7 linked regions of the Canis lupus familiaris genome follow. The protein of the gene in region 4 interacts with the protein of the main gene of each other region in a biochemical or structural test. Links are inferred from orthologs where the notes say so. Each region holds a gene or a part of one and is shown on either strand. Other genes may lie near its edges. The genes, in order: AKT1, GADD45A, ESR1, CDKN1A, CCND3, CASP3 and SKP2.

What was found.
Region 1: of the proteins of CDKN1A (region 4) and AKT1, one has a biochemical effect on the other in vitro, tested with the Homo sapiens proteins (2 studies listed by BioGRID, with this or other methods). The link is inferred for Canis lupus familiaris from reciprocal best matches to the Homo sapiens genes CDKN1A and AKT1.
Region 2: the proteins of CDKN1A (region 4) and GADD45A form a complex in vitro, tested with the Homo sapiens proteins (3 studies listed by BioGRID). The link is inferred for Canis lupus familiaris from reciprocal best matches to the Homo sapiens genes CDKN1A and GADD45A.
Region 3: the proteins of CDKN1A (region 4) and ESR1 form a complex in vitro, tested with the Homo sapiens proteins (2 studies listed by BioGRID). The link is inferred for Canis lupus familiaris from reciprocal best matches to the Homo sapiens genes CDKN1A and ESR1.
Region 5: the proteins of CDKN1A (region 4) and CCND3 form a complex in vitro, tested with the Homo sapiens proteins (2 studies listed by BioGRID and IntAct, with this or other methods). The link is inferred for Canis lupus familiaris from reciprocal best matches to the Homo sapiens genes CDKN1A and CCND3.
Region 6: of the proteins of CDKN1A (region 4) and CASP3, one has a biochemical effect on the other in vitro, tested with the Homo sapiens proteins (3 studies listed by BioGRID). The link is inferred for Canis lupus familiaris from reciprocal best matches to the Homo sapiens genes CDKN1A and CASP3.
Region 7: of the proteins of CDKN1A (region 4) and SKP2, one has a biochemical effect on the other in vitro, tested with the Homo sapiens proteins (3 studies listed by BioGRID). The link is inferred for Canis lupus familiaris from reciprocal best matches to the Homo sapiens genes CDKN1A and SKP2.

The regions. Positions count from the first base shown.
Region 1 is NC_049229.1:72,720,717-72,724,216, forward strand, and holds part of AKT1 (RAC-alpha serine/threonine-protein kinase), read right to left. Parts: intron 3,019-3,500; coding exon 2,907-3,018; intron 2,766-2,906; coding exon 2,618-2,765; intron 2,476-2,617; coding exon 2,344-2,475; intron 2,264-2,343; coding exon 2,198-2,263; intron 988-2,197; coding exon 919-987; intron 812-918; coding exon 686-811; intron 615-685; coding exon 486-614; intron 405-485; coding exon 190-404; intron 1-189. UniProt on the Homo sapiens protein: AKT1 is one of 3 closely related serine/threonine-protein kinases (AKT1, AKT2 and AKT3) called the AKT kinase, and which regulate many processes including metabolism, proliferation, cell survival, growth and angiogenesis.
Region 2 is NC_049227.1:77,929,188-77,933,173, forward strand, and holds the start of GADD45A (growth arrest and DNA damage-inducible protein GADD45 alpha), read right to left. Parts: upstream 2,801-3,986; 5' UTR 2,651-2,800; coding exon 2,607-2,650; intron 2,388-2,606; coding exon 2,286-2,387; intron 1,752-2,285; coding exon 1,517-1,751; intron 61-1,516; coding exon 1-60. UniProt on the Homo sapiens protein: In T-cells, functions as a regulator of p38 MAPKs by inhibiting p88 phosphorylation and activity.
Region 3 is NC_049222.1:42,539,821-42,543,320, forward strand, and holds part of ESR1 (estrogen receptor), read left to right. Parts: intron 1-578; coding exon 579-769; intron 770-3,500.
Region 4 is NC_049233.1:5,927,073-5,931,028, reverse strand, and holds the start of CDKN1A (cyclin-dependent kinase inhibitor 1), read right to left. Parts: upstream 2,801-3,956; 5' UTR 2,681-2,800; intron 1-2,680. UniProt on the Homo sapiens protein: Plays an important role in controlling cell cycle progression and DNA damage-induced G2 arrest. Involved in p53/TP53 mediated inhibition of cellular proliferation in response to DNA damage.
Region 5 is NC_049233.1:10,786,492-10,790,668, reverse strand, and holds the start of CCND3 (G1/S-specific cyclin-D3), read left to right. Parts: upstream 1-1,377; 5' UTR 1,378-1,403; coding exon 1,404-1,601; intron 1,602-2,461; coding exon 2,462-2,677; intron 2,678-4,177. UniProt on the Homo sapiens protein: Regulatory component of the cyclin D3-CDK4 (DC) complex that phosphorylates and inhibits members of the retinoblastoma (RB) protein family including RB1 and regulates the cell-cycle during G(1)/S transition.
Region 6 is NC_049237.1:46,847,432-46,851,524, forward strand, and holds the start of CASP3 (caspase-3), read left to right. Parts: upstream 1-1,293; 5' UTR 1,294-1,409; intron 1,410-1,866; exon of another isoform or gene 1,867-2,000; intron 2,001-4,093. UniProt on the Homo sapiens protein: Thiol protease that acts as a major effector caspase involved in the execution phase of apoptosis. Following cleavage and activation by initiator caspases (CASP8, CASP9 and/or CASP10), mediates execution of apoptosis by catalyzing cleavage of many proteins.
Region 7 is NC_049225.1:73,293,850-73,297,789, forward strand, and holds the start of SKP2 (S-phase kinase-associated protein 2), read right to left. Parts: upstream 2,801-3,940; 5' UTR 2,578-2,800; coding exon 2,534-2,577; intron 2,045-2,533; coding exon 1,773-2,044; intron 1-1,772. UniProt on the Homo sapiens protein: Substrate recognition component of a SCF (SKP1-CUL1-F-box protein) E3 ubiquitin-protein ligase complex which mediates the ubiquitination and subsequent proteasomal degradation of target proteins involved in cell cycle progression, signal transduction and transcription.

The sequences.
Region 1 (3,500 bases), on a different chromosome or scaffold from region 4:
GTGCTGCCGGCAGGGCAGGGTCTTCCTGAGCAGGTGTGAGAGGCTGCGAGGTCCCCATCGGCCCTGGCCGAGGACGTCACACATCAGCCACCAGCGTGGCCCGGAGGCTGGCCCGCTGTCCCTGGGGGGCACGGGCACGGGGGTGGGGTGGCCCACCAGCCCCCTGCTGGCTCAGGGCCGCGGGCTCACCTCTGCTTGGGGTCCTTTTTGAGCAGCCCTGAGAGCAGGGACTTGGCCTCAGGGCTGAGCGTGCGCGGGAAGCGCAGCTCCTCCATGAGGATGAGCTCGAAGAGCTTCTCGTGGTCCTGGTTGTAGAAGGGCAGGCGGCCGCACAGCATCTCGTACATGACCACGCCCAGCCCCCACCAGTCCACCGCCCGGCCGTAGTCGTTGTCCTCCAGCACCTGGGGACGCAGGGGCGCGGGTCACAGGCCGCCCGGGGGACGCGGGGGCCCAGGCCCCCTGGGGACGCGGCAGGTGCGCACCTCGGGGGCCAGGTACTCGGGCGTCCCGCAGAAGGTCTTCATGGTGGCTCCGTCCTTGATGCCTTCCTTGCACAGCCCGAAGTCCGTGATCTTGATGTGCCCGTCCTTGTCCAGCATGAGGTTCTCCAGCTGTGGGGGGGCGGGTCAGTGCCAGCCCCACCCCCTGCAGCGCACCCCCCAGGCCGCTCCCGCCCGCCCACCTTGAGGTCGCGGTAGACCACGTTCTTCTCCGAGTGCAGGTAGTCCAGGGCCGACACGATCTCGGCGCCGTAGAAGCGCGCCCGGTCCTCGGGGAACACCCGCTCCCGGGACAGGTGGAAGAAGAGCTGCGGGACAAGGGCGTGACGGTGTGGGGGCTGCGGGCCGAGACCCTGCCTCCCGGGCGGGACCCCAGGGCTCAGGGCCAGCCCCACGCACGCCGCGGCCACCCTACCTCGCCCCCGTTGGCGTACTCCATGACGAAGCAGAGGCGGTCGTGGGTCTGGAAGGAGTACTTCAGGGCCTGCGAGGGAAGCAGAGCTGGTACGCGGCCCCCGGGCCCCGCAGGACGCCCGACGCCCACGGGCCGGTCTTGAATCTCAGGCAGGTAGGGTCCCGGAAGCTGGCGATCCTGGTGACCGCGTGGAGGCTTCCCCCGGGCTCGGGGCCCAGCGCGGGACGGGGTACGGTCGGCAAGGGGAGGACACGCCTGGGCAGAGCTTCCCGGCCGCCCTCCCACCCCACACCACCAGCGGCCTGGCCGTACACGGACCGAGTCGTCCCCACAAGTGACTGACCCCGGGTCTAGCCCAGCCGCCGGGGAGGAGCCCCATCCACGGAAAACACAGGACAGGCTGGTCTCTACCGGCCACAGACTCGGGCAGCGGGGATAAGCTGTGCCCCGTGAGCCCTGTCCCCTTGGAGAACCTGCAGAGGGGGTGCCACCGCCAGGGCCGGGGGTGGGGGGGGCAGCGTGCACGGACCCCGGAGGCCCTGTCGAGCGCGGCAGGGTGCTGTGGTCATGGGGGTGCGCTGAGGGGGAGGGAAGGACACAGAGCCTGGACACGAGCAGCAGGAGCAAGGTGACACAAATCTCAGGCAAAGCCAGCATAAAGAATGAGTCTGGGCTAAAAAATGAGACCTTCTTTAAAAATGTCGGTCACTTCTCCTAAGAAAACGTTTTAAGGAACAGAAACTTTAGAGAAGTACAGCCCCTTCCCTACTTTGCTCCTGCTTTGGATCAGGCGGTCCCCTGGGCTGAGGACACCCTGAGTAGGTGACGCAGCCTGGGGGTGGGGGGGAGTCCCAGGGAGAGCCCGGGTGGGGGCAGCGCCCGGCCAGACCCTGCAGGTGAGCGCGGGCCCATCCACACCTCCCAGGAGCTGGCCGAGCCCGGGACGGCGCTAAGGCTAACGGCTTTCCGGACGCTCCTCCTGGGCCAAGGGCCCCCCAGGATGAGACCCTCCTGGCTCCAGCCTCAAGGGGGGAGTAGCCGGAAGGGGGCGTGCAGGGCAGGCACGGGGGCTTGGGGTCCTCCCAGGGCCTCGGGCAGCGCGGGGGGAGGAAGACCCCATTCCGTGCACGGGGGCACAAACCACCCCCGCCTCCCGGCATCCTCGCAGGTGTGCCCACCCTCGGCCAGGCACGCGGGGCTTCCGCGGACAGGCTGGTGGCAGGGAGCCCCCGGCCCAGAGCCTCACCCCCGCAGGCAGCCCGGCGCCTCCAGGACTCACCGTCAGGAAGGGATGCCGAGAGTTCTGGAGAACACGGTTCTCCGTGAGCGTGTGGGCAACCTCGTCCTGGAAGACAGAGCCCGGTGAGCCCCCGCCTGCCCCTGCCCGCCCCCACACCCCGGCCAGGCCCCGGCCCCGTGCCCCACCTTGGCCACAATGACCTCCTTCTTCAGGATCTTCATGGCGTAGTAGCGGCCCGTGGCCTTCTCCTTGACCAGGATCACCTTCCCAAACGTGCCCTTCCCCAGCAGCTTCAGGTACTCAAACTCATTCATGGTCTGTGGGGCGGCGGGCAGGCACCTGGGGTCAGGGCGGCCCGGACCCCCCCGCAATCCCGCATCCCAGCCCTACTCCTCCCACAGGGCTCCCAGTGGCCACAATGGGGCGGCCAGGCCCCTCTGAGCTGGGGGAGCGCCTCACCACACGGTGCTTGGGCTTGGCCAGGGACACCTCCATCTCCTCAGCCCCCGAGTTGTCACTGGGCGAGCCCGACCGGAAGTCCATCATCTCTTCCTCCTGCCTCTTGAGCCCGTCGGCCACTGTCTGGATGGCAGTCGTCCACTCCTCCCTGCAGGGCCGGCACGTGAGGCCCCGTGACCCCGGCCTGGACACGGGGGACAGCGAGGCCTGGCTCCCCACAGGGCGTGTGCCCTCCCCACCAGGGAGCAGAGGCCCCGGCACCCAGCTGCCCCGTGCATCCATCTCATACCGCTCCTCGGGTGTCTCCACGTGGAAGGTGCGCTCGATGACCGTGGTCCACTGCAGGCAACGGATGATGAAGGTGTTGGGCCTGGGCCGCTCAGTCTTCATCAGCTGACATTCTGGGGGCAGGGCTGGCAGGTGAGTCTGCACCCCCGCACACAGGGCCCACCTGCCCCCGGCCCCGGGACCCCACCACCAGGTCATGCAAAGCCCTATCCCATTCCCATTCCACGCCTTGGCTCCCCTGCTTGTAAAACCAGGGGTGGGACCCCTATTCCAGTCCTGACACTGTGCTGGCAGGCAGTGAGGTGCCCCTGCAGGGCTGGCTGAGGCCGGGTCACCTCGGCCCCATGTCATCCTCTCCCCTGGTCCTTCGGTCTCTGAGCCCGTGCTGCATGCCAGGCAGCTCAACTGGCCGGAGGGAGGAGGAGGAGGGATGCCCCAGGGGCGGGGCAGAGGAGGGAAAGCAGCTGGCCCCCGAGCAGGAACCCCCTGCCATTTACCCAGCCCACGCCCCCCCCAGCAGGGCCAGTCCCAGGGCAAAGGCCGGTGGGGACTCACCCTTCAGAGACGCCGCCTGTCCTGGGCAGGCAGCTGGAGG
Region 2 (3,986 bases), on a different chromosome or scaffold from region 4:
CCGGCAAAAACAAATAAGTTGACTTAAGGCAGGATCCTTCCACTGTGAGGAATGGGGATTCTGGAAACAAATTGAGAAAAATACATTTACTATTAAAAAAGAAAAAAAAGGCAACATTTGCTAATAATTACACTCATTTCGAGGGAAAGACAACTTGAGCATTCTGTACTTTGGCTGTGTGACAAGAGACCAGTTACAACCATAAAAAGATCAACTTTTTTCTTGGTAGCTGATTTCTGGGGAAACCACTACGTAATGCTCTAAAGCACACCCTGCAAGCCTGCATGCATGCAGCCCTCCGCACCGCGTACATGGGACTGCAGGATGTTTACTGCGTTTTTGCAGGAAAGTAGCAGAGTAGCATTCAGAGGCTTGTCCCCTGGAAGCCACCTGAGCGAGAAACAGCTCGGACAAAGATCTCCATGCCCCGAGCCCAGGGAGAGGCGAGCCCCTAACAGTTCGCTGGAACTGCCACCTGTCATCCTCCCCAAAGACAGGGTGGTAGTTTTCAGGACACGCAAAATGATTAAGCCGCCACTTACCTAGACCAGCCCATAAGTAGCAGAATGTAAAAGACAAAACTGTCCTATTTATCTCTGGAAACACAAGTCATCTTCCCACCAAAGGTAGTCATGGGGGGGGGGGGGGTCCATTAAAAAAAAATCCAAGATTGCAAATAAAAAACAATCCCCATTCCGTCCTCTTCGTGTATTTCTAGGGAATTAATAAGGTCGGTCTCCTACACCACTTCTATTTTTAGCTTGGAGCGCTGGAGGACGAAGCCGACTCCTTAATGAGGGGGAGCCAGGAATTTATTTGGCTGAACCTAATCTGCCTGCTAAGGGAGTCGGTCACGGGAGGCAGCGCCGCGGAGGTGGGGAGGGGCCGCCCTGCTGACTCACGAGGCTCCTTCCCCCGCGGCTCCCGCGTGCTCGGACACGTCCCGGCCCGCCCGCCCGCCGGGATGGGGCCACACCTGTCGGCTGCGGTCGGGAGCTCGGCCCCGCCACCGACCCCGGGGCTCACCGGCACCAGGACCCGGTGCACCCCTGCGCCCCCCCCCACCGCCGTCACCAGGACGGTCCGGCCCTTCCCCCGTGCACCACCTCCGCACCCCTGTGCACCACCCCCCATGCATCACCCCCCGACCCCGTGCACCACCCCCAGCCCCGTGCACCCCCGTGCTCCCCCCCCCCCCCGCCTCACCGTCACCAGGACGGTCCGGCCCTTCCCCCGTGCAACCCCGCGCACCCCCCCCCCCCGCCTCACCGTCACCAGGACGGTCAGGCCTTTCCCCGTGCACCACCCCCAGCCCCGTGCACCCCCGCGCCCCCCCCCGCCTCACCGTCAGCAGGACGGTCCGGCCCTTCCCCGTGCACCACCGCGCACCACCCGCAGCCCCGTGCACCCCCGCGCCCCCCCCCCCCCGCCTCACCGTCACCAGGACGGTCCGGCCCTTCCCCCGTGCACCCCCCCGACCCCGTGCAACCCCGCGCACCCCCATGCCCCCCCTCACCGTCACCAGGACGCAGTGCAGGTCCGGGGGCTGCTCGGCGCCCTCGCTCGCGGGGCCGGCGTGGGGCTCGAGGAGCAGCAGCTCGGCCAGGCGGCCCGGGTTGCTGACGCGCAGGATGTCGATGTCGTTCTCGCAGCAGAAGGCCTGGATCAGGGTGAAGTGGATCTGCAGCGCCACGTCCCTGTCGTCGTCCTCGTCGGCCGCCAGCAGGCACAGCACCACGTTGTCCGGGTCGCTGCGGGCGGCGGGGGCGGCTGAGCGCGCAGGCCCCGGGGTCCCAGGGTCGCGCCCGCCCGCCGCCCCCCGCCCCCGGGCCAGGTGGGGGGCTCCGCGGGGGCAGGTGGAGGACTCACTCCCCGCGGGCAGGTGGGGGGGGCTCCCCGGGGGCAGGTGAAGGGCTCCCCCGGGGTCGCCTGGAGGGGCTCTCCAGGGGGCAGGTGGGGGGGCTCCGCGGGGTCGCCTCGGGGGGGGTCTCCGGGGCAGGTGTAAGACTCACTCCCCGGGGGCATGTGGGGGGCTCCGCGGGGTCGCCTGGGGGGGGGGGGTCTCCGGGGCAGGTGTAAGACTCACTCCCCGGGGGCAGGTGGGGGGCTCCCCGGGGTCGCCTGGAGGGGCTCTCCAGGGGGCATGTGGGGGGCTCCGCGGGGTCGCCTGGGGGGGGTCTCCGGGGGGCAGGTGTAAGACTCACTCCCCGGGGGCAGGTGGGGGGGCTCCCCGGGGGCATGTGGGGGGCTCCGCGGGGTCGCCTGGGGGGCGGGGCCCCACTCACACGTTGAGCAGCTTGGCCGCCTCGTACACGCCGACGGTGATGGTGCGCTGACTCAGGGCTTTGCTGAGCACCTCCTCCAGGGCGTCCCCCACCTTGTCCATCCTGCCCGGGAGCCAGCGCGGGGCGCGTCAGCCCAGGCCCGGCCCGCCAGCCGCCCTCCGACCCCATCGCCCTCCCCGAGGCCGCCGCCAGGGCCCGCGGGGAGGGGCGCGTCCGCCCGCCCGCCCGTCCGTCAGTCCGTCCGTCCGTCCGTCAGTCCGCCGGCGCCTCGGGGGCGGTGCCCGGGGCGGGCGGGGGGCGCTCGGGAGGCCGCCGCCCTACCTTTCGCTCTTCTGCTCCGCGGCCGAGAATTCCTCCAAAGTCATATTGCAGCCGCGGGTCCGCCCCAGGGCGCGGCGTGCGGGCTGCTCGGGCCTCTGCGGGCGCGCGGCGCCTGGCGTCTGCACCGCGTCCGTCGGCCCGTCCGTCCGCCCGTCCGCGGCCCCGCTCCGCCCCGCCCCTGCGCCCGCCGCCGCCGCCGCCGCCGCCGCCGCCGCAGCCACTGGGACAAAGGCCCCCTCGCCGCCCTTATGGGGCCGACCGCAGCCAATCACCACCCGCCTCATTTGCATGCGCACAGCCATTGGGTTATGCAAATCAGCCTGCTCCGACCATGTGACCCCGGCTCCAGGACCCGCGGGGAGAGGAGCGGAAGGGGGCGGAGCCACGCGGAAGGCGGGCGGCCTAGGGGGCGGGGCGGGCGGCCTAGGGGGCGGGGCGAGCGGCCTAGGGGGCGGGGCGGGGAGGGGGAGGGCGGGGCGGGGAGGGGGAGGGCGGGGCGGGGAGGGGGAGGGCGGGGCGGGTCCGGAGCCGACTCTGATCCGGTGGGAGGCTCCGAGGAGGGTGGGGGGTCTCTGCAGCGGCGGGGCAGAGGGGTGCCTTCCACTTGAGCCCCGAGCAGGCTGCCAACTGTTTTTCTGGTTGGTGCACATTTTTATTTTATTGTCGTTTCATGTCTTTTGTTTTTAGCAGTTGCTATTAAAGTCTATTTCCAGGGCTAATGCACCCAAGTCTAGTAATTATTAGTAAGCAGGTTACATAAAAAGAGTGTTTCAGACCTCTGGGGCAAAGTTGACTTCAGAAGTGTTGTTTATGTAAGTCTAGGCAAAGCTGCTTATTAGTAGTAGTATTATTTCGGTGCCCTGATGGCTGGTTTGATTTATTTTTGGAAGGTTGCAAGGGTTGGAAGCTCAAAAAAGAAAAATCAACACATTTGTGTTTGGTAATGGCACGGAACCAAGCTGGAATCTTTTCCACGGAAAGCAGAGAGGCTTCCCACCTGCCCAGGGTGACTCTGGAAACCGTGGTCAGGAGGGGGGCCGCATGTGCAATTGCTAGACTTACGACCCAAATTCACCTTTCCCGAGAGCTTTTCCCAAAGGAGGACCCTTCTGCACCTGCCCCAGCTAAGAGACACACACGTCTGACGCCCACACAAGTCTAAATTCAAAATACTCTCAATATGCCCTGAGCTTCCTTTCATAAGGCAAGTATGTCACTACCTTCCACAGAGAGCCTGTGATCTCACTGTGAGTTATTGATGTTAGATGCTGAATCATGAAGCTGCAGCTATAGGACCTTTTAGTCATACGCTAAAATTTCACCTTTGAGATAATGGCAACCTGTGGGTGGAAAGCAAGCAGAAGTTAACACACTTCTGAA
Region 3 (3,500 bases), on a different chromosome or scaffold from region 4:
GAATGGCACCTTGAAGGTATAGTCAAGTGATAAAAACTGGTATCCAGGGTTACATGGTAATGATGACATAAAAATTTGAATTGTTACCTTTCTATAGATGTTCTATGTTGTTCATCAGTTCATTTGAGTTTCAAATGCTCCAGCTGGTTTATACTTTTTCTCTATTTCCTAAAGATCCGTAGTGTGTGTAGAATTTGAATAACCATTGGTCTCTGATGATTTTTCATTAACTGTGAATCCCTGAAAAAAAGTGAATAAATCTATTAAAAACCAGCTAATTTCATTTTGTCATTTTCTGAATAATATATTCTGGTGTAGGCAGTCCATTTTTTAAGCAAGTTTGCAATAAACAATTTCCCCTCAAGGTTAATAGAATAGGCAAACACCTTTTGCTGTAACAGCTGGCAAGAGGTAATGAAAGATTAGCTTACATTATGATTCATTATTTCAAAATGTCAGAATAAAGTGGATCTGCTGCATCCCCCAAGCCTCTTATTCTTTAGAAGAGTGTACATGTTTTGCTTTTCTAATGTTAATAGATTCACTGTTTTTATTTTTTCCTATTTCTTTTTTTCCAGGCCAAATTCAGATAATCGACGCCAGGGTGGCAGAGAGAGATTGGCCAGTACCAGTGACAAAGGAAACATGGCCATGGAGTCTGCCAAGGAGACTCGCTACTGTGCAGTGTGCAATGACTATGCCTCAGGCTACCATTATGGAGTCTGGTCCTGTGAGGGCTGTAAGGCCTTTTTCAAGAGAAGTATTCAAGGTAATAGTGTGTTGAAAACAACTTATTTCCCTTTAATCTTGAAGGGAAGCAACTGAAGAAAGAAGGCATATGAGCAGCCATTTGTAGTAGAAAACACTAATACCTGGTAGGTCCATTAGTATCTCTGGTAGAAACATGAATATAAAAAAGTTCTCGGTAGAAAGAGTTGACAAAGACCAGGGTAGTTGTGGCTGGCTGAGTAATTATGCTCCTTCCATTGGCAAGATCCAAGCAGTCTTGAGCAACTCAACAGGAAGGGGATTTTAATAGCTGGGTTTCCAGAGGTCTGTGCTCAGATATTCATGTGTTGCAGGCAACGGGGCTTATACAATACATGTAATACGAATTGTCTGTACATTACTACCTTCCACCTTGGTTGTGTCCAGATATGGATTCTGTTCTGATCTTTGCTCCAGAGCACCAGTTCTTTGCATCAACTCTAACTTGACTTGTTCTTCTCTTGTTCTTCCTCCACCTCTTTGTTGTCTCAGTAGATGATATGACTTTTGCTAAAATGAGAAGACTCAATAGCTGGTGACCTGTAATAGGGGACATATTATCAGTATAAGCAGTTAGTATTTACTTGTAACATTTCATTCACCTGTGTGCCTTGATCCTTTTTTTATATGTGGCTTACCAAGTCACCCTTATACTGACAGCTGCAATTTATTTTTATTCCAAGAATGTCTATATTGTTGCATTTTAGAGGATGCTCTGGGAGAAACATCAATCATTTCTACTACCCAAAATATCTATGCTAAAGATTCTTTGTCTGACAGGCATAGCAGTCTGACAGGAGTTTAGGTTAGCTGAATTAACTTTATCTTGGTTCATTTTATATATATATATATATACATATATATATATTTATCTCAGTCCATTTTAAAGCAGTTTTTTTGACAGTTCTTACTTTCAACATCTTTTAGAAATCTACTGTAAGATTTGCACTTTTTTTGTTGGGTTTCTTAAATAAAATTAATGATATTCTCTGATAGCAAATTTTTTTTATACATGTATACACACATATGTAATATATATGTATAAATATATATAAATGTATACATGGATATGTATATATACACATATCTATGTGTTAAAACAACATAGATTATTCAATTTTACCAAATGATACTGTCTTAATTTAGAAAAATGGCATTTCTATTTGGTTTAAGTTAGGATAAGCCCTGAAAGGTCTTTCAACAACCATATTCATTTGTGATATTACTGTTTATTTGCTTTTATATATTCTAAAATAGCATTATTTTCACCAAATATTTAATCTGGTATTGACAAATCATCTGACAGAGGTAGGTTTAGTGAACAGGTTCAATTATAAACTTGACTTATCTGAAACTGAGTTCTCTCATCTGTAAAAATCATTGATAGCAGTGTTCAGCAACAATTTTTTTTGTAAAAATCCAGATAGTAACTATTTTAGGCTTTGCAGTCATTGTTGCAACTACTCAGCCCTGACATTGTGGCCCATAAGGAGCCATAGACAATATATAAGTAAATGGGTGTGTGCCAATAAAACTTTATACACAAAAATAGGCCAGAACTGACCAGAAATGACCTATGAGCCATAATTTGCTAACCCTTGATTTAATGCATGGAAAGGGAATAGATGTTTCTAAATCTAAAGTTTTGACTATTCATATTTATTAAAAACTTACTCTGTACCTGTGCTAGATGTTCTGAGAGAAATCAAAATATGTGTCAGACATAATCTGTATTCCCACAAAATTTGGAATTTATTTGGGAAATTTATTGGGGTGGCAAAGATACTTGTTCTTATGATATAATTAGAAAGTAAGTCAGTATAGGTGAAGTGCAATTATATGATAAAGATAAGGAATATAATAGAAGAATATAAGAAAATAAATATTTTCAGTTATAAAGGTCAAATTACTAAGATTGAAGATAAAAAGGACCTGTCTTCAAGGAACAATACCAATATTCTCACAAATTATTTTTATCCTATTTGTTCAGCATTGAAGATTGTACTGTATAACTTCACATCATACTCTGAGCATTAAAGTATCAGAGCAAAAAAAAAGGAAAAAAGAAAAATACACTTATAAAAATAGTGAAGGAAATGTGAGCTAATAAAAAATGTTTTATTGGTATATGGCATTATCAAAAGTTCAAACATTTAAAAAAAATTTCTGCTTACTCTTTGATGGTTAAAATATATATCTTATCTCCATCTTACATATACAGACTAAACAGTAGGATTTCATTGTACTATAAATTATATAAAATTGTACTATATATAAACTGCATAAGCTACAATTTCTGCCTGGCTTCAGAAACTTCGTATTATGGTATGAAGTCACTTAAATAAGCTTTACTAAATGAGGTGAATATTGAGTCCAAAGTTTTAGAAGAAGCATAGAAATGAGACAAAGATAGTACCTTTAGACATGAGGAGGGACCTTAAAAATGATTCTGTTTATTAATTCATTTATTTATTCATTGATTGCCTCTACTAGCCAGAACACTGTGGAAAGTCCTGGAGATAAAATTATAGGAAAGGCATAGTCCTCATTCTCATAGACCCTAAAAGGTAGTGAGAGAGTTGTGCAAAAAAAATTGGCAACTAAATTACAGTGTGACAAGTGCCAAGATGAGGATGAGTGGAGGGTCTTATAGAGGAGTCCAAATGTCACTCAGTCCTGTTGGGGGTTGAGTCAGGCTATGAGAAGTTTTCTTGATTTAAAATTAAGTCTGG
Region 4 (3,956 bases):
TTTTTTTTTTTAACAGAAGAAGTAACTAAGACCTCAGAGAAGTAAAGTAACTTGCCCGAGGTCACATGGCTCACAAGTGGCACAGCCAGGATTTGAACCCAGGCCTGTTTATCCTGGGTTCCGTGCTCTGGTGTTCATCCTTACTCCCTCTCTAGTTTTGTGTTCCTAACCAGAGGCCCAGCAGAATCACTTAGGGAGCTTTTTAAAAAATACAGGTTGATAGGTCCCTCTCTTCCCAGAATAACTCAAACTAAAGGGGATTTAAGCCCCTGGTTGGCTCAGCAGTTGAGCATCTGCCTTCGGTGCAGGGCCTGATGCCGGAGTTCAAGGGTAGAGTCCCACAGCCGGTTTCCCGCAGGGAGCCTGCTTCTCCCTCTGCCTGTGTCTCTGCCTCCTCTGTGTGTCTCTCATGAATAAATAAATAAATAATCTTAAAAAATAATAAAATAAAGGGGATTTAAGCAGGTGTTTGGCAGTTCCCCATATGGGCACTCTTGGGGTGCCTTTCAAGAGAGGATACACAGGATGGCCTCACTGGCACAAGGAGGAGGAGCCTGCCTTGGCTTTTCACCAGGAGGCTGAGTATTCCCAGGCTTCTAGGCGCTCAAGATGGGACCAGAATCCAGGCAAGGATCCTCTCTCCTACCACCCTATGGCCCTCATAGGCTCCTCATCAAAATCTGATCTCATTCCCATTATCGTAACTCCCAGTTCAGAGAAAAGTCAAATATAAACCCTTATTTCACAAACAACCGAGAATAGCATCCTTGGTTGGCCTTCGTGTCTTAGACTTCAGCCAGTTTTAATTCCGAAGTAACCAGTAAGCACTGAGCACCCCGCGATGAGCCAACGGGTCATGCTTTTTCAGGGGCGTTCGCAGCTGCGGCTCAGGCTCAGCCGCGGCGCAGCGAGGCGGGAAGGGAAGGCGGGCTTGCTACTCGCTTCGGGGCCGGACGGGGGCGCCGGTCTCCAGGAAATCACGCGCAGGGTCGGCGTGTGGGCAGAGCCGCGAGCCGCCGCCGCGAGCAGCGATGAGTCAGTTTCCTGCGGAGCGCTCCCCGCCCGCCACAACTCTGCGTGCGCTCGGGCTGCAGCGTCACCCTCGGGTGGGGAGGGGAGGCGGGGGGCGGACCGGGGGGCGGACCGGGGGCCGCGAACACGTCACGCTGAGCCAGCCAGGCTTCCGAAAGCCCCGCCACTGTTGGAAAAACGCGCGCGCCTCCGTGACACACACACACACACACACACACACACTCCGCACGCAGAGGCGCGCAGAGGTTTGGTCCCTCCACCTTATCTCCACGCCCAAAGCACGGGATGAGTCAGATCCCTGGAAAATAAAAATAGACGAAAGCAAGGAAAACAGAACCGCTCGACAGTCCTCGAACCGCGACGTGGAGGCAGGGAAGGGGGGGCAGGGAGGGAGCCGCCCGGGCACCCCAAAGCGCCAAACCCAATTCCAAGATTCTTTTCCGCAAGAGGCGGGCGCCCGTGTCCCCCGAGGGCCCCCGACGGGGGGGGGGGTGCACGGTGGCCCGCGCTGGGCGGCGGCGCCCAAAGGACGGCTCGTCCTCTCGCTGCGCGCTGAGCAGTCGCCCTCGGACAGGGCAGTTTGGCGAGGGGCGCCGGGAGCCCCCGGATGTGGCCGTCAGGGTGGGACCAGCCTCCAGATGGGACCTCTCCGGGTCCCTCGCCCCGCGCGTGGGCTGCACGCCCCGCGGCCCCGCGGCGCAGGTCTCCCCTCCCGCTGCGGAATGCGGCGCCCCGACCCCAGGGCAGGCGGGGCGCGAAGGAGGACAGGTGTGTCCGACCCCTGTTCTTCTCCCACGGGCCGGCTGGAGCGAGCCCAGCCCGCGCAGGGCCACCGCTCCGGGTCCCCGAGGGCGCGCTGCGAGGCGGGGACCGGACACCCAGTCCTGGACCTCCCGATGTCCCGGCTTCCCTGAGAACACTTTGTGCCAGCCAAACAGTCACTGTGCCGATCGGGGCACAGACACCCGGGGCGGGGAGGAAGCCGACTTCTGGGGCGCCACTGTCCCCCAGCCCGGGCGGGGCTCTGACCGCACCCGTCCCATTTCCCGGGGTCTCCTTGTCACCGTGAGTCACCTCCTCGATTGCCCTGAAAGGATGTGTCCCAACACGTTCCCAAGGACCGGGGGGGGTACGCCGCCCGCGCTGACCTCAGCGCCCAGCCGGTGGCGGACGCGGAGGCGTCGGGGACCCCGGCCGCAGGGGTCTGGGCGGAGACGGCGCGGATTGGATCGCAGCCGCCGGGAGCGGAGGGCGGTGAACCTGCCGGGCTCGGCGTTCCCCGCCCCTCCGGGGGCTCCGCGCCCGGGGGCTCCCTCCGCGCGCCGCCGGGGGCCTGGGGCGCGCGAGTCCACGCCTCCCCTGGCTCCAGGGCGGGGGGCGCGGCAGGGGATCCCCCGCTCTGCTGCGCTCCCGCCGCCCCGGGCTTCCGACACAGCCCGACCTCCGGCACAAGCGCACCTTCCGGAGACACCCGTGGGAGCCGAGCCCAGCCCCACGCGCCGACCCACGCACGTCATTCACCTGTGAAGACGGCACGCGCACGCACACACTCACCCGCTGGGACACTAACACACACACACGAGGCGGACACCTCGGCCGGGCTCCGAGCCGCCGGCCCAGGCCCCCTCGCCGGCCACAACGCCCTCACCTCCTCCGAGGGTCTCCGGCTCCGCGAATCCGCGCCCGCCTCCGCTCTCCAAGCCACCGTCTCCCGCAGCAGCTCGCGAGCTGGCACCGCCCGGTGCCGCCTTATATAGGGACCGGCCGCCCCGCCCCCAGGCCTGGCACCGCCCCTTCTGCCGCCGTCCGCCGCCGCAGCTCGCAACTCGCCGGCGGCTGGAGACCTCCGAAGTCAGACGCCTACACCGCGGGCTGCAGGGGGGCGCTTCCCTCCCCGCCCCGCGCCCCGCGCCCGGCGCCCCGCGCCCCGCGCCTGGGTCCCTGTGCTTGACATGTTTCCCCACTAACTGAGCCACAGACCGGGGTTGTTTTCGCTGGGTTGGGAGTTGGCACTCCCCACGAAGGGATGGCATTCTTAGGATGAGCCCTTCTTCTGGCCCCGAGAAGATCACGAGGGGTGACATTCATAGATAACACTCCATAAATAAAAGCATAAAGGATGTGCCTCGCTCGGCGATTTCCAGAAAAGCCCACTATACCGCCAGTCTTCCCACAGACCCCTCACTAGACCGCCTCTTCCCAAGCACCCAGACACGCCAACAAAGCATCTTGGAGACCAGAACCGGATTCGATCCCCCTTCTTTCACAGATGAAGAAATTAAGGACCTCAGGACTAAACGGATGCAAAGTTGTTGCTCGCCCAATGCCCCCGGGGAAGGAGGGAATGGGGAATACTCAGAAAAGGTCAACCAGGTCTCCAGGGGAAAGCAGGAAATGGGGGAAATTGGACATTGAACCAACCTCCCTACCCCTCCTCCTCGTGCCCACATCCACCTCCTTCTCACCTCAACAATAGAGATCTCTATGATTGCAACAGATTTTTTTTATTTTTTTATTTATTTATGATAGTCACACACACAGGGAGAGAGAGGCAGAGACACAGGCAGAGGGAGAAGCAGGCTCCATGCACCGGGAGCCCGACGTGGGATTCGATCCCGGGTCACCAGGATCGCGCCCTGGGCCAAAGGCAGGCGCCAAACCGCTGCACCACCCAGGGATCCCGCAACATATTTTTTTTTTTTAGATTTTATTTATTTATTTATTTATTTATTTATTTATTTATTTATTTATTTATTTATGAATGAGACAGAGAGAGAGCAGGAGCAGAGGAAGGGGGAGAAGTAGGGAGAGAGGTAGAAGCAGACTACCTGCTGAGCAAAGAGCCCAACTCCAGGCTGGATACCAAGACCCCAAAATCATGAAGCAAAGACAGATGCTAAACCAACTGAACTACCCAGGCACCT
Region 5 (4,177 bases), about 4.9 Mb from region 4:
ACTCTAGAGCTTGGGGTCGTGAGTTTGAGGTCCACACCCGGGGCGGTAGAGATTATTTAAAAAGAAATAAAAAAACGTAAAAAAAAAAAAAAAAAGAACAATTCATCAAGAACATGCTTAGCATAAAACTTGCTTCTTCTGTAACTGTCCTTTCTCTAACAACTCACTGCTTTCAGCGGCTCCTTCCTGGGGAGGACCCCAGGAGAGGCAGAGGGATCCCTCAGGCCTTCTCCCATTCGGGGCCTAACGGGGGATTCCTGTGGTCTGCCTCTTGGCCACATAGAATCCAGCTTTGGGGGAAAACAGCGAAACAACCCAAAGTGTGGGAAGTAGAAGAAATGGCAACGGGAGGATTTGAGAGTCTGAGCAAGGAACTCCTTCACAGAGGATCTATTTTCTCCGCCCGTGTTTTCCTCCAACAGAAACTAAGGCCAACTTCAGGGCTTGTCCGAGGCCACACAGCCAAACTAATGACAAGGTGAGGAGGCCTTGAATCCATGGCTTCCCCCCTGCTGTCTTACTGCAATAGGCAGATTTAGACCAAGCCTCGCCCCACGGGCACAGGGGTCACCAGGGATCCTACAGAGGTGCTAAGTGTCTGGGATGGGGCAGCCCCCGCAGTGCCAGTGTCGCCGGGTCGCGGGTGTGGGGGTGGAAGGCGGTGAGGGTTCTGGGGCCAGGTTCAGCTTCCCGGTGCTCGCGGGGCCACAGGCCATGTGTGATTGCCACGCTCAGCTGGGCTCCAGCTGCTGGGCTCCAGCCTCGCCATCCGCCAAGTGAGGGGACTACCCGGCCCGTGGGGTTTTCGGGATCGTCGGGGAAGCGGTTCCACGCCGAGCGCTCGGATCAGCTGCGTCAGGAAGCGGCCGGCTCATGAATGGCCGTATTCCCACTCCCCCAGAGCGCTAGGAGGGCCGAGCGGGGTCCGACGGATGAATGAATAACCCCCTGGAAGAAGGTTCTTTCCCGGGCGGCTAGAGCCCGAGAAGCCAGCGGGGGAGGGCCGAGCCGCTGGGGAAGAGGCCCGCCTCCTAGGAGCGGCTCTCGGGCGGGCGGTCAGGAGGCCCGGGAGCGCCCGGAAGCCGGCCGGCCCGCGCCCTGCCGACCAATGCGGCCGCCGGGGGGGGGGGGGGGGGCGGCCCGCCAGCCCTTTCCGTCCGGGGCTCCGGCGGCCCCGCCCCGCGCCGCGCCGCGCCGCCCGAGCATTCCACGGTTGCTACATCGTCGCGAGGGGCGGGGCGCCTGTCAGGGAAGCGGCGCGCGCGCCGGCGCGGGCGGGCTGGGGCTCCGCGCGCAGTGCCAGCGCCAGCGCCAGCGCCAGACCCGCGCCCCGCGCCCCGCGCCCCGCGCTCTCCGGCCGCCGCCGCCTGCCTCCCGCCAGCCCGCCCGCGCGCTGCCCGATCATGGAGCTGCTGTGCTGCGAGGGCACCCGGCACGCGCCCCGGGCCGGGCCGGACCCGCGGCTGCTCGGGGACCAGCGTGTCCTGCAGAGCTTGCTCCGCCTGGAGGAGCGTTACGTGCCCCGCGCCTCCTACTTCCAGTGTGTGCAGAGGGAGATCAAGCCGCACATGCGGAAGATGCTGGCGTACTGGATGCTGGAGGTATCGCCCGGAAGGGTCTCCCCTCCCTCACCGCCCGGCTCCGGACATCCCCCGGGCCGCCCTGTCGGGACATCCTGGTCCCAAGAGCGATCAGCAAGATGCTTTGGTGGCTCAGCCCCGCGGGGCCTGGCCATTCGCCCGGGCGCCCTGGCCGGCCGGCCGCCCCCGCGCCGTCGCGTCCCTTCCCCAGCCCTGACTCTGATTGCCGATCGCTCGGCACCGTCACTGAGCCTCCCGGGGGGCGCGCTCCCCCCGCTGCCCTGCCCTCCCCCGCTCGGGCTCCGGAGCGCGCGCCCGGAGGAGCCTGGGCTCGGCCGCCCCCGCCCAGAGCCGGTGCCTGCGTCGGTCGCGGGGCTCGGGCGGGGAGCGCGGTGGGGGTGGCGCGCGCGCGGTTCCGGCAGTCGGGGAAATGAAAAGTGCGGGAGGCGGCGGCGGGAGTCTCCTCCCTTCCCTTTGGGTGTGTGCCGTGGGTGGTTGTAATGGGGGTAAGGTCCCAGTCCGCTGGCTACCGGGGCTGACTTTTCCGTTTCCCCGGCCCCCTTCTCGCCACGGGGGAGGGCCGTCCCAGTTTGGAATCCTTAAGGAAGGGAGCCTCTGGCGTATCTGGCGTATCCCCCCACCCCCCGGGGGAGGGGGAAAGGAGGCCGGCAACTCAGAGGAAGTGGGGGGGGGGCGTCACCTTGGGGGAAAGGCGCATCCTCCTCCGTCTCTTAGTCCTTGTCACTGAAGGCACACTTATCCCCCCTCCCATTTTTTTTGCTCCCCATTCCACTTCCCTTTCAGCGCCACCCCTCTCCCCTTTTAGTGCGGCAGCGTTTCCCATGCCCTCGCCCCAGAAGTGACTGTGCGCCCTCCCCCAGGTCTGTGAGGAGCAGCGCTGCGAGGAGGAAGTCTTCCCCCTGGCCATGAACTACCTGGATCGCTACTTGTCCTGCGTCCCCACCCGAAAGGCGCAGTTGCAGCTCCTGGGTGCGGTCTGCATGCTGCTGGCCTCCAAGCTGCGCGAGACTACGCCCCTGACCATCGAAAAACTGTGCATCTACACCGACCACTCTGTCTCTCCCCGCCAGCTGCGGGTGCGTGCATGACTCTCCCCACCCCGACTCAGTACCGCCTCACTTACCAGGAAAAGGAAAACCAAGACCTCAAAAGCTTTTCTGCCCTGGGGAGGGTAGCAGAAGCTTATTTTTTTTGGACCAAAGGTGGGGCACTGTCAGGGTGGGACAGTCAGGGTAGCTCCCCAGCCTGAGCTGGAGCTGCCAGCACCAATCGAATCCCCTTCTGACCTCCAGGGGGTGCCATTCCTTCCTGGTCTTTCCCCCAGATAGCAACAAGTCAAACTGCATGTCTATACTCACTAGTACTTTGCCTCTGGGTTTACACAGCCACCATGAGTTATTTATTGGCAGCAAAAAGACATGCCTGCACACCCCCACTGGAGTGGGGGAGTGGAATGTGTTTCATGTGGGGGTGGGGGCTGCCTTGGTTGACTCTTTGCCGCAGTGTGGACTTTGTGATTGAAAAGCCTCCCAGAGCCAGAGCCGATTAAAGTCAGGCTTAAAGTCAGGCCGTTTGCTCTCAGGAAGGGCTGAGGAGTTGTCATCCCACCTTGTTTCTTTCCTTTTGTATCCCAGAAGACAGAGCTCCTTCCATGTCCTCGTTCTGAGGAACTTGAGCAGCTGCTTCAGGCCTGCTGGAGTCCCCTCTCCCTTTCCCCCTTAGCCAAAGGCCAGAGCTGAGGGAGCGACAGGGAGCCAGGCTGCAGCTGCTTCCGATGTGATAATGCCGCCCCCTCCCCTGGCCCAGCCACTCTGCCCTGAGGTCTTTCATAACCCTGTGGGGAGCTGCTGTCACTCCTGTGGTTTGGGAAGTGGCTCCCCAGGCCTCTTGCTGGGAACCTGGGCTGGGCTCTTCCCGGGGCAGGCAAGAGAGTCAAGGCTCTCTTTCCCCATTGAGCCTGGAGAGGAGGGTGGGGGAGCTGCTTGGGTCTGGGAGAGGTTATTTAGGGCAGGCAGATCACCTCCTGGGGGGCCTGAGGGGCCTGGGGGAGAGGATGGGTGAGCTGGCACCTTCCTCCACCTTGCTCTGTGGCCAGCCAAGTCTTCTCCTGACCCTGAGAGGAGTCTCTGGGCCCCATCTCCTGGGGAGGAGGGCAGCATGCAGTTTGCTGTGATTGGCTGGCCGGGAAGCCAGGGTACTGGGGCCCCCGACTGCTGCTTGTCGAGGAACAGGATTCCTCTTCCTGCCAAGTAGCTCTCAGAGATGGGAGTAGGAGGCCAGAGTTGGGAACTCCGGGAGGCCCCACAGCTCTTTGTGATGAATCTGGTAGTTTTTGGCAAGTCTGAAGGTGGAGCCGGTTTCCAGGGCCAGTGAGCAAGATGTTTTTGGAGGGTTTGGGCTGGAAGGTAGAAGGGGACTTCCTTTTTGTGAAAAGACTGGCATGGTGTGTGTGCCTTTGTGCGAGGGGAGTTTTTTTAGAACAGGCCACAAGGACTCTTCCTCCACTCCCTCTGCGTGAGCTGGGGGGTGGAGTGTGCAGATGCCTTCCTGGAAGGTCAGAGTTGGAAGGGACTGCA
Region 6 (4,093 bases), on a different chromosome or scaffold from region 4:
AGCCCCTGGGGAGGGTTTGCACAGGATCCTGTTCTTCAGTTTTACTGCAGCAGAAAAAGGCCTGCCAAACACACTGATTGTCCCTCTCTCAATCTGGGAGGGACAAAGGCAGGCCCAAGCCTCCTCCTTGGAATCCAAATCTGATTTCGGTATTTCTCTTTTTAGCAAAAAGGAAAAACGACGTAACTTTCTTAAACCCGTGAAGGGACTGGGATTCCTGCCTCCAAGACTTGTTAAAAGGATAAAATGAGAAAATGTAGGGGCTCCTGGGTGTCTGCCTTTGGCTCAGGTCATGACCCCAGGCTCCTGGGATCAAGCCAGCTCAGAGGGGAGCCTGCTTCTACTCTCTCAAAGAAATCTGTAAAAAAAAAAAAAAAAAAAAAAGTACTAAGCATTCACCAAAGGGCTGCCACGCATACTTAACGATGTGTATTCATTCATGTACAAACTACAGCCCCCGATTCTTAACCGAATGGGTAGAAATGCTGGGGGCGAGGCTAGTGCCTAACGTGGGTCCGGGACCTGGAAGGACGTCCTGAACCTCTCGGAACCTCTTGACCTCTGATGCGGAACTTCGTGCTCGACTGTGCTGACACACTCTTCTAAGAAAACAACTCCGTGCTTGCTTTCGGGTCTGCACGCAGTTCGTGAGCCAAACCAGGCGGGAGATCCGCAGCGCAGGCGAGGACTCAGGGGCGGGGGGGGCGGGGCAGGTAAGGCGCGGCCCGGGGCACCTGGGGGGCGGGTCGCCGCCGGCTCCTCGTCCTCCCGGAGGTCTGAGCGGGCGTCAGGACGGCCTCTGACTCCCTACTCTCTGCTCCTCGGGCCTCGCGAGGCGTTCAGGCGTCCCTCCTTTTACTTTCAGAAACACTGGCGACCGGCGGAAACCCACGGGGTTCGCAGAAACAGGTGGGGCCCGTCTTACAACCCAGCGCGTGGCCGAGGCCAGAGCGCGGGGAGGGCGTGTCCACAGGAAGCGACGCTCAGGCCTATGAGGGACGGCCTAGGGGCGGCGGGGGCGGGGAGACGAGGGCGCCGGCCTATGAGGGAGCGGCATGGTGGGGCGGGGGCGGGGAGACGCGTGCGCCGGCCTATGAGGGAGCGGCATGGTGGGGCGGGGGCGGGGAGACGCGTACGCCGGCCTATGGCCTAGGGGCGGCGGGGGCGGGGAGACGCGTGCGCCGGCCTATGAGGGAGCGAGCTGGGGGGGTGGGGCAAGAGAGAGCGGGGCTAGCGGGACGTGTCCCGCAGAGGGGAGCGCGAGGGGGCGGGGCCGGGGCGGGGCCGGGGCGGGGCTAGCGGGGGCAGGGCAGCCGCGAGCACACCTTTAAGCGCCGCAGGCTGGGCGTTTGGAAGGCGACCCGGTGCGGAGAGGAGGCGGCTCCTGGCTGCTCCCCGGAGTCTGTGCGGTGAGTGCAACCACCACGTCTTCCCGCCGCAGCCTGTGCGCCCGGCGCCGGCTTCCTCCATCCTCCCGAGCCCCGCGCCCGCCCGCGCCCGCCCCGCGCCCGCCCCGCCCGCCCCGGCGACCCGCCTGGGCTTGCAGCTGCTCCCGGGCGGCGGATCCTTTGTTCCGGCGCCTCCGCGGCTGCGAGAAGGTGCACGGAAGGCCGCTGGGCGGGAGACCCGAGCGGGGGTCGGGGAGGCCGGGGGACGGAGATCCGGCTGGAGGACGCGGAGCCGGCGGCCTGGAGGCCCGAGAGGCCGGGCCGGGAGCACCGGGGCCGGGCGGCGGCGAGCCTGGGAGGGGGTGCCGAGCGGCGCGGGAAGCCCGTCTGGTCTCGGGCCTCGATTTTCCTGCCTTGGCTGTGCGACTCGGTTTTCCGGGGAACTAGCCTCCAGCATTGAATTCCATTTACTTTTCAGACCCGAAGGCTTGCATAAGGCCGCGCCGCCCTTTCCCGGGCTCGCATCCGCTGCCGAAGTCCCCTGGAGAGTGCCGTTCTCACCCTGTCCCGCCGGGCTTCGCCGGGCACAGGCTGCCTCCTTCCCTGTCCTCCGTAAGTGGCGTCCAAGCCGAGAACCGCAGCCACCTCTCCCCGTTAGCCATCAAGCCTCCTTCTGAACCCCCTAAAATAGGCACTAGATCTGTCCACGTCTGTACATTTTTGAGAACCCCCCTCCCCCCCAGGCTCTCACCTGGCCACAGCAGCCTCCTTGGCTTTTCCAGACCCTTTCCCCCACTCCATCCCATTCTTCGCAGCACAGGCCGAGTGAGCTTTATAAAATAGAATTCTAGAAGGCTGTTCCTTTGCCCACTGAACAAATCCAGTCCCTTAACAAGGCTAACAAAGCCAAGCATAGGTTGTGTCTCCTTGATCCCCTCCCCTGCCTTATCTTTTGTGATACTACCATTTCAGTTACTGACCAGCCAGGCTGATCTTAGAACCTGTTCTCTGCCTGGAACACTGCATATTCCCTCTCTCCCATCATTACACATCACATCTGCTTGAGGAACTCCTACTTAGGTTTCTGTTCTCATTAAGTACCTCAAGGTTAGGTCTTCCTACTGTGAGTTCCTTTAGCATCCTGCATTTCTTAAACGGCAGCTGGCCCATGCTTTGCAGTTGTTTTGTTTACTGTTTTCCTTACTACTTTGTAAGCAGATTCCAGGAGGGACCATGTTTATCTTGTTATCTTGTTGTTCCTAATTGTTTTCCCCCTTTACAGAGGGGCCTGGCCCAAGTTAATGCCCATACTACAGTATTGTGCTTTTTTAATAATTATGCCCAGTCTAGAAAAAATAAGCCTATTTTAGGTTTACTTAGTAAATTATAATTAAAAGATGTGAATCAGAAGGGAATAGTAGAAGTGAAATAGGGAGTCGCTATACCAACGTGAGTATGAATATTCGCAAGATAATCACAGGCACTAAGCAAGGTGGTTAGACCAGCCTGTATCAAAATGTACTCAGCCGCCGCTTTGAATGTGTTGAAGTTACATGTTCTCCAGGAATGAAGTCTAAAGCTTAAATCATCCCTATCACAATGTGATGTTTGAGCTTTGGTTTTGCTTTGCTCTTTTGCAGAAGAAGGCTTTGAAAGTTAGAACGTGTTTTAATAAATGAACAGGCTATTGGAGTGTGGCAGTAAAACCCCTTCTCAGTAAAAAAGAAATGAAACATTGTATTCAATTAAATCAGATTTGTGTTTGCTCTCCTTTAAAAAAAAAAAAAGGCCTTACTTCCTGCCATTTTAAGAGACTGACATGTTATCTGATATAGGCAATTACAAGTTTCTCTGCTGTTTTGCTTTCAAACCCAATTTAACACAATCTCCTGCTTCATCCCCCTTCAGTGCTAAAAAACAGTCTTTTTTTTTTCCACGTATGGCTTTAAAAGAATTTTGGTGCCTACTGTTTAGATCTTTAAACTCTGCCTTAAATGTGAAGCACTGGTGTTTGGGCCCAGAACGAGAGATGGGAATTCTTAGACTGTTAGATAATGTTTTGTACACATTTAACAAATGTCCTGGAGGGGGACAGACACTTTGTTGTCAGGCCACTCTAGGCCAAGTCCCAAGGGCAAAACTTACTACTAGCCCATTCATAAATTAGGCATAAATTATATAGACACCTCACAGGGTTGTGGTGAGTATAAAATGAGAGGTCTGTTGACTGTGCTTTGTAACTATGTAATGTTATTCCTCTGCCTATTTTGTTCTTCCCTGCAAATAGTTCATAGAGCTTCTGAATTAGGGTAGAGTAAGATAAAATTCTCTGGTCCCTACCCAGCACTGTGTGGTATCTGCCTTAGGGAGCCACTTCCAGATAGCAGAGAGTACAGGTGTGAGCCCCCCATGAGGACACCTACCCTCAGGTTTACTGCAGTACTCTGCACACAGTTCAGTAAATGATTACAGCCCAAATGACAAATGTATAAAAATAACTGGCTCTTGACTTTTTACAGTTCCAAACCTCTGGGAGGCAGGATTTCTTTAACCAAGTGGTTGTAAACCAGAATCTGCTTTTACAGAGCAGTGGTTCGGGGCGGCGGGGGAGGCCTTGTAGGTTATCTATCATTTTTATAACAGGCAAATATAGAATGAAGGTCCTTCATATATATATGAAATACAAAATACAGCTTTGAATAGTG
Region 7 (3,940 bases), on a different chromosome or scaffold from region 4:
TGATATAGATTTCCAGATCATAACCTGCCGGTTCTCTTTTCCAGTGAAAAAGTCAAAACCCAGAAACAATAGTTTTGTTTTTTTTTTTTAAAGCAACCAACCAACCCTTCTTCAAAGAAAGTCTGGTGGGAGAACTGAGGAATATACTTATTACCGTGGCTCTGCAAGACTTCATCTTAATTTCTTTTAATCTGCCTCTTATTCTTCCCCTATCACCCACCCAATTCCTGTTTAGGGTCCGATCGCCTCCTCTACAGACGACTTCAATAGCCTCCTGATTCTGTCAACTCTAATGTCAGAATCCATCCTTTTAACAAATCTCTAAGCTTCTATGCGTGACCCCCCTATAGTTTAATCCATACACATCAGTGTGTCCTTTTAACAGATGACATCACAAATCTGCTCAACACCACCTCTAGCCCTATCTCCCACTGCTCTCCCTTTTGCTCAGTCTGCATATGGCTTCCTTCTTCCTTGAGCAAACATGACATGTTTTTGCACCAGGGTCTTTGCACTGCCTTTGTCCTCTGCTTAGAGCCCTCTTCTCCAAGATATTTGCGTGGCACATTCCTCACACCTCCTGTATGCTTTTGCTTAAAAAGCTTGTGTCTAAGTGAGGCTATCCCTTAATATCTCTTAGTGAGGTTTAAAGTTGTAAACCATCTTCCAACCCCAGGACTTCCAATCCCTCTTGGCTTGTTCTCTACTTGTTTTTGGCCACAGTATTTACCACCTTCTTAACATATTATACACCACATTTATTATGTTTATTGCATCCCCCCTCTCAAACAGAAGCTTCATGAGAGCAGGAATGCTTATGTTTTGTTCCCTGCCTTATCCCCAACACATAGAACGATGCCTCCCACATAGCATGTGCTCAGCAAATATTTGCTGGATTAATGTTTTAAATGACTTACTGGCAAGAAAAACTGATAACCCTAAGTCATTGCACTGTGTTTACCCTATGGCTTTTGTACTCTTCGGATTCTGATCCACTCTGGGAGATACTCAATGACATGTCTGAGAAGCCTGGGGAAATGATATGGTGAGTTCTACATCTGAGTCAGTTCACTCTAGCTCTGGGGATGGATCAGGGGAGGATAAGACTGGAATTATGAGTCCATGCCAATATTCAGGCAAGAGATAATGAGAGTATGAAAAACATCTAGGAGACAAGAGGGAAACATTCAATGATTGGTTGGGGGCTGGAAGATGGTGGGAAGGGACTGGCCCTCAGGTTTCTGGCTGGGTGACTGAACAGATAATGTGGGCAGTAATGGAGACAGATCAAACCAGAAAAATCCCACTTGGGAGGTCCGAGGGATATAAGGCCCTACTCCTAGTTTAACATTCACGTTAGTAGTCCTTTGACAAATAACTAAAGCAATTATGGCAACAAACTCAACTGAAGCTACAGAGCAACGGAATATAAATAACAAAAATCCTACAAGATTATTGCTTATGTTCCCATTTAACAATGGCACTGAGCTGGCCTTTGAACACGCAGATTCCCTTCAAAGGGAAGGAGGCAGGAAGATCTTCTGGGTTAAAATTTCACATGGGTTAAAAGTCAATTGTGCACCTGGAAAATATATACCTACCAAGATTCCTGTAGATTTCAGTGACAAAGGGTTGTCCCATTGCTTTGGAAATCGACTTCAGAAGTAGGCAATTTTAAAAGCGTGCCATCCTAAAGATCGCTTAACAAAGATTAGCAATAAATAGTTCAGTCCACTTCTTAAGTGACCGACAGTTTTACCCTCATACCTTACCTGGAAAGCTGTCTCGATTTAGCTTAGGCCTGCGGACTATGACAAAGTCCTTGTCATTCCCCTTGCTTTTCAGCCGTTTTCGGGGCGGGCTCTGAGGGTGGCCCAGATTTGAGAGCAGTTCCTGGGGGATATTCTCACTGTCCACCTCCTCCTTCTCCAGAGCAGAGACCCCCATGCCCGACAGCAGTTCAGAAGTCTTACTAGAATCCCATCCCCACGTGAAGCTGGTGGTAACGTTGCTACTCTGGTCTGGAATCTCCTGGAGGTGTTTCCTGCAGAAATGCACAACAGCCCCGGTTTCTTTCAAAAACACACCCGTAAATAATTCAAAGATAGGCCTACATGAAACTCTAAGTTATGCAATGCAGAAAACTTTAAGAATTGCATTTTTTTTTAAAGTGCCGGCGGCGAGTTTCCAAGAAGGAAAAAAAGAAAATAACCGAACAAATCAAAAAGGCTTTTTGATTTACGATCACGGAGAAGGCCTCAAGAATGTCTTAAAGTGGAGGGAACAGACAAGCGGGGGGGGGAGGACGGGGGGGGGGCAAACGTACACCGGCAGGAAAGCTCAATAAGGGAAGGCAAAAACCGCACGCTGATCACCGCACTAAAGCATCCGGCCCCCCACACTTTCCCAAAGAAGGGGCTGAGCAACGATTCAATTACAACATTCACAACAGTATTAGCGCGTAGCAATATTCGCGGCCTAAAAGAATTGAGGCGGTTCATTCACTCTCAGCCCCCTTTTGCAATCGGTTTACCTATGCATGGCGTCCACAGCTTCTGGAGTTTTAAACGCGTGCATTAATTGCAGAACTGCACGCCTCCGGGATTCCCGCTTTGGCGCGCGGCGGCTCAAGGCGTGCAGCTCCGACCCCCAGCAGCGAGACCCGCGAACTCTAGCAACGTTCCATCCTCGCCGCGCGCGCGAGGGCTCTTCTACTCGCCCTCCGCCGCCGCCGCCGCCGCCGTCGGCCGCCCCGCTGCCTGCCGGGAACTGTAGTTTCCGTCTTGCCTCGTAGTCCCGCCGGCTCTGCGCGACGTCCTTCCTCGGCTGACTTTACCCGCCTCGGAGATACCCACAAGCCCCCGCGCCCGCGAGGCGGGGCCGTCCACGCGGTAGGCGGGGAAGCGGAAGTGGGCGGCGCTCCGGCTGCCTGGGAAATGTCAGCCGCCTGACTGGGGACGGATTTTCCTTACCCCGGAGCCTGCAGGCCTTTCTAGTGGTCGTCACCGCCGTCGCCCCGGATCGCCGGTCGCAGGTCCGGGACGGCTGTGGCGGACGCGGGGTTCCCGGTCCTTGTGCGGACGCTGTCTGGCCTGATGGGGAGGGCGTGAGCCCTGTGGGGTCTGCGGTCTGAGGCCGGGCGCTGGCGGAGATCGAGAGGACCTCGGAGACCCCGAGCCGCCGCCGCCGCCGCCACCGCGGGCCTTCGTTCCCGGCCACCGAGTGGAGGCGGCAGCCCGGTCCGCCGGCCAGGTGAGACGATGAGGGCCGCGGGCGTCCCACTTGCGCCCCCCCGCCCCCCCCCCGCCGCCGCCGCCGCCGCCGCGAAGCTGCTTCCTCCATCTGGGAGATAGTGACCCTTAGCACTGCGGGTCACCAGGTGCCTGTTCTGTAGGCACTACGGCTCCGAGGTTCCTCCCGAGAACACGCCTGACGTGAGGGGCAGATTACGCTTGTGGAAGCGCTTTGTAAACTAAAGCGCGGTTGGAAGGAGAGGCGGTGGCTTAATTTTAGGGGAGCAGGAGAACACGGCGGTTGCCACGGTGTGCGGTGGGACAGCTGCGCAGCCCCCTGGCAGCCCAGACGAGCTTGGGAACAGCTAAGGGGACGGTCGGTAGGTCTGTGAGGGCCGTGGAGCGCCACGCTCGGGGCCGCTGGGCTGCTCGCGCTCCGCCGACGACGTCCGGCGGCGTCGCCGTCTGAAAGGCGAGCTGCTGCGAGCCTGTCGCCGCCCGGGAGAGCCTGGGGGCGGCCAGAGCAGGGAGTGTGCCGCATTCCAGGTCGGATGACCGTGCGAAATCCACAAACGGTGACCCCTGGAGAACAGTGGAAGGGAGAGGGGAATAAATTCCAACCTTCAATTAAAAAAAATTAAAAAAAAAAAAAAAGGAGAGGATTGATCAAGTTCAGAAGTAAGCAGAGCCCTCTGCTAAGTCATCAC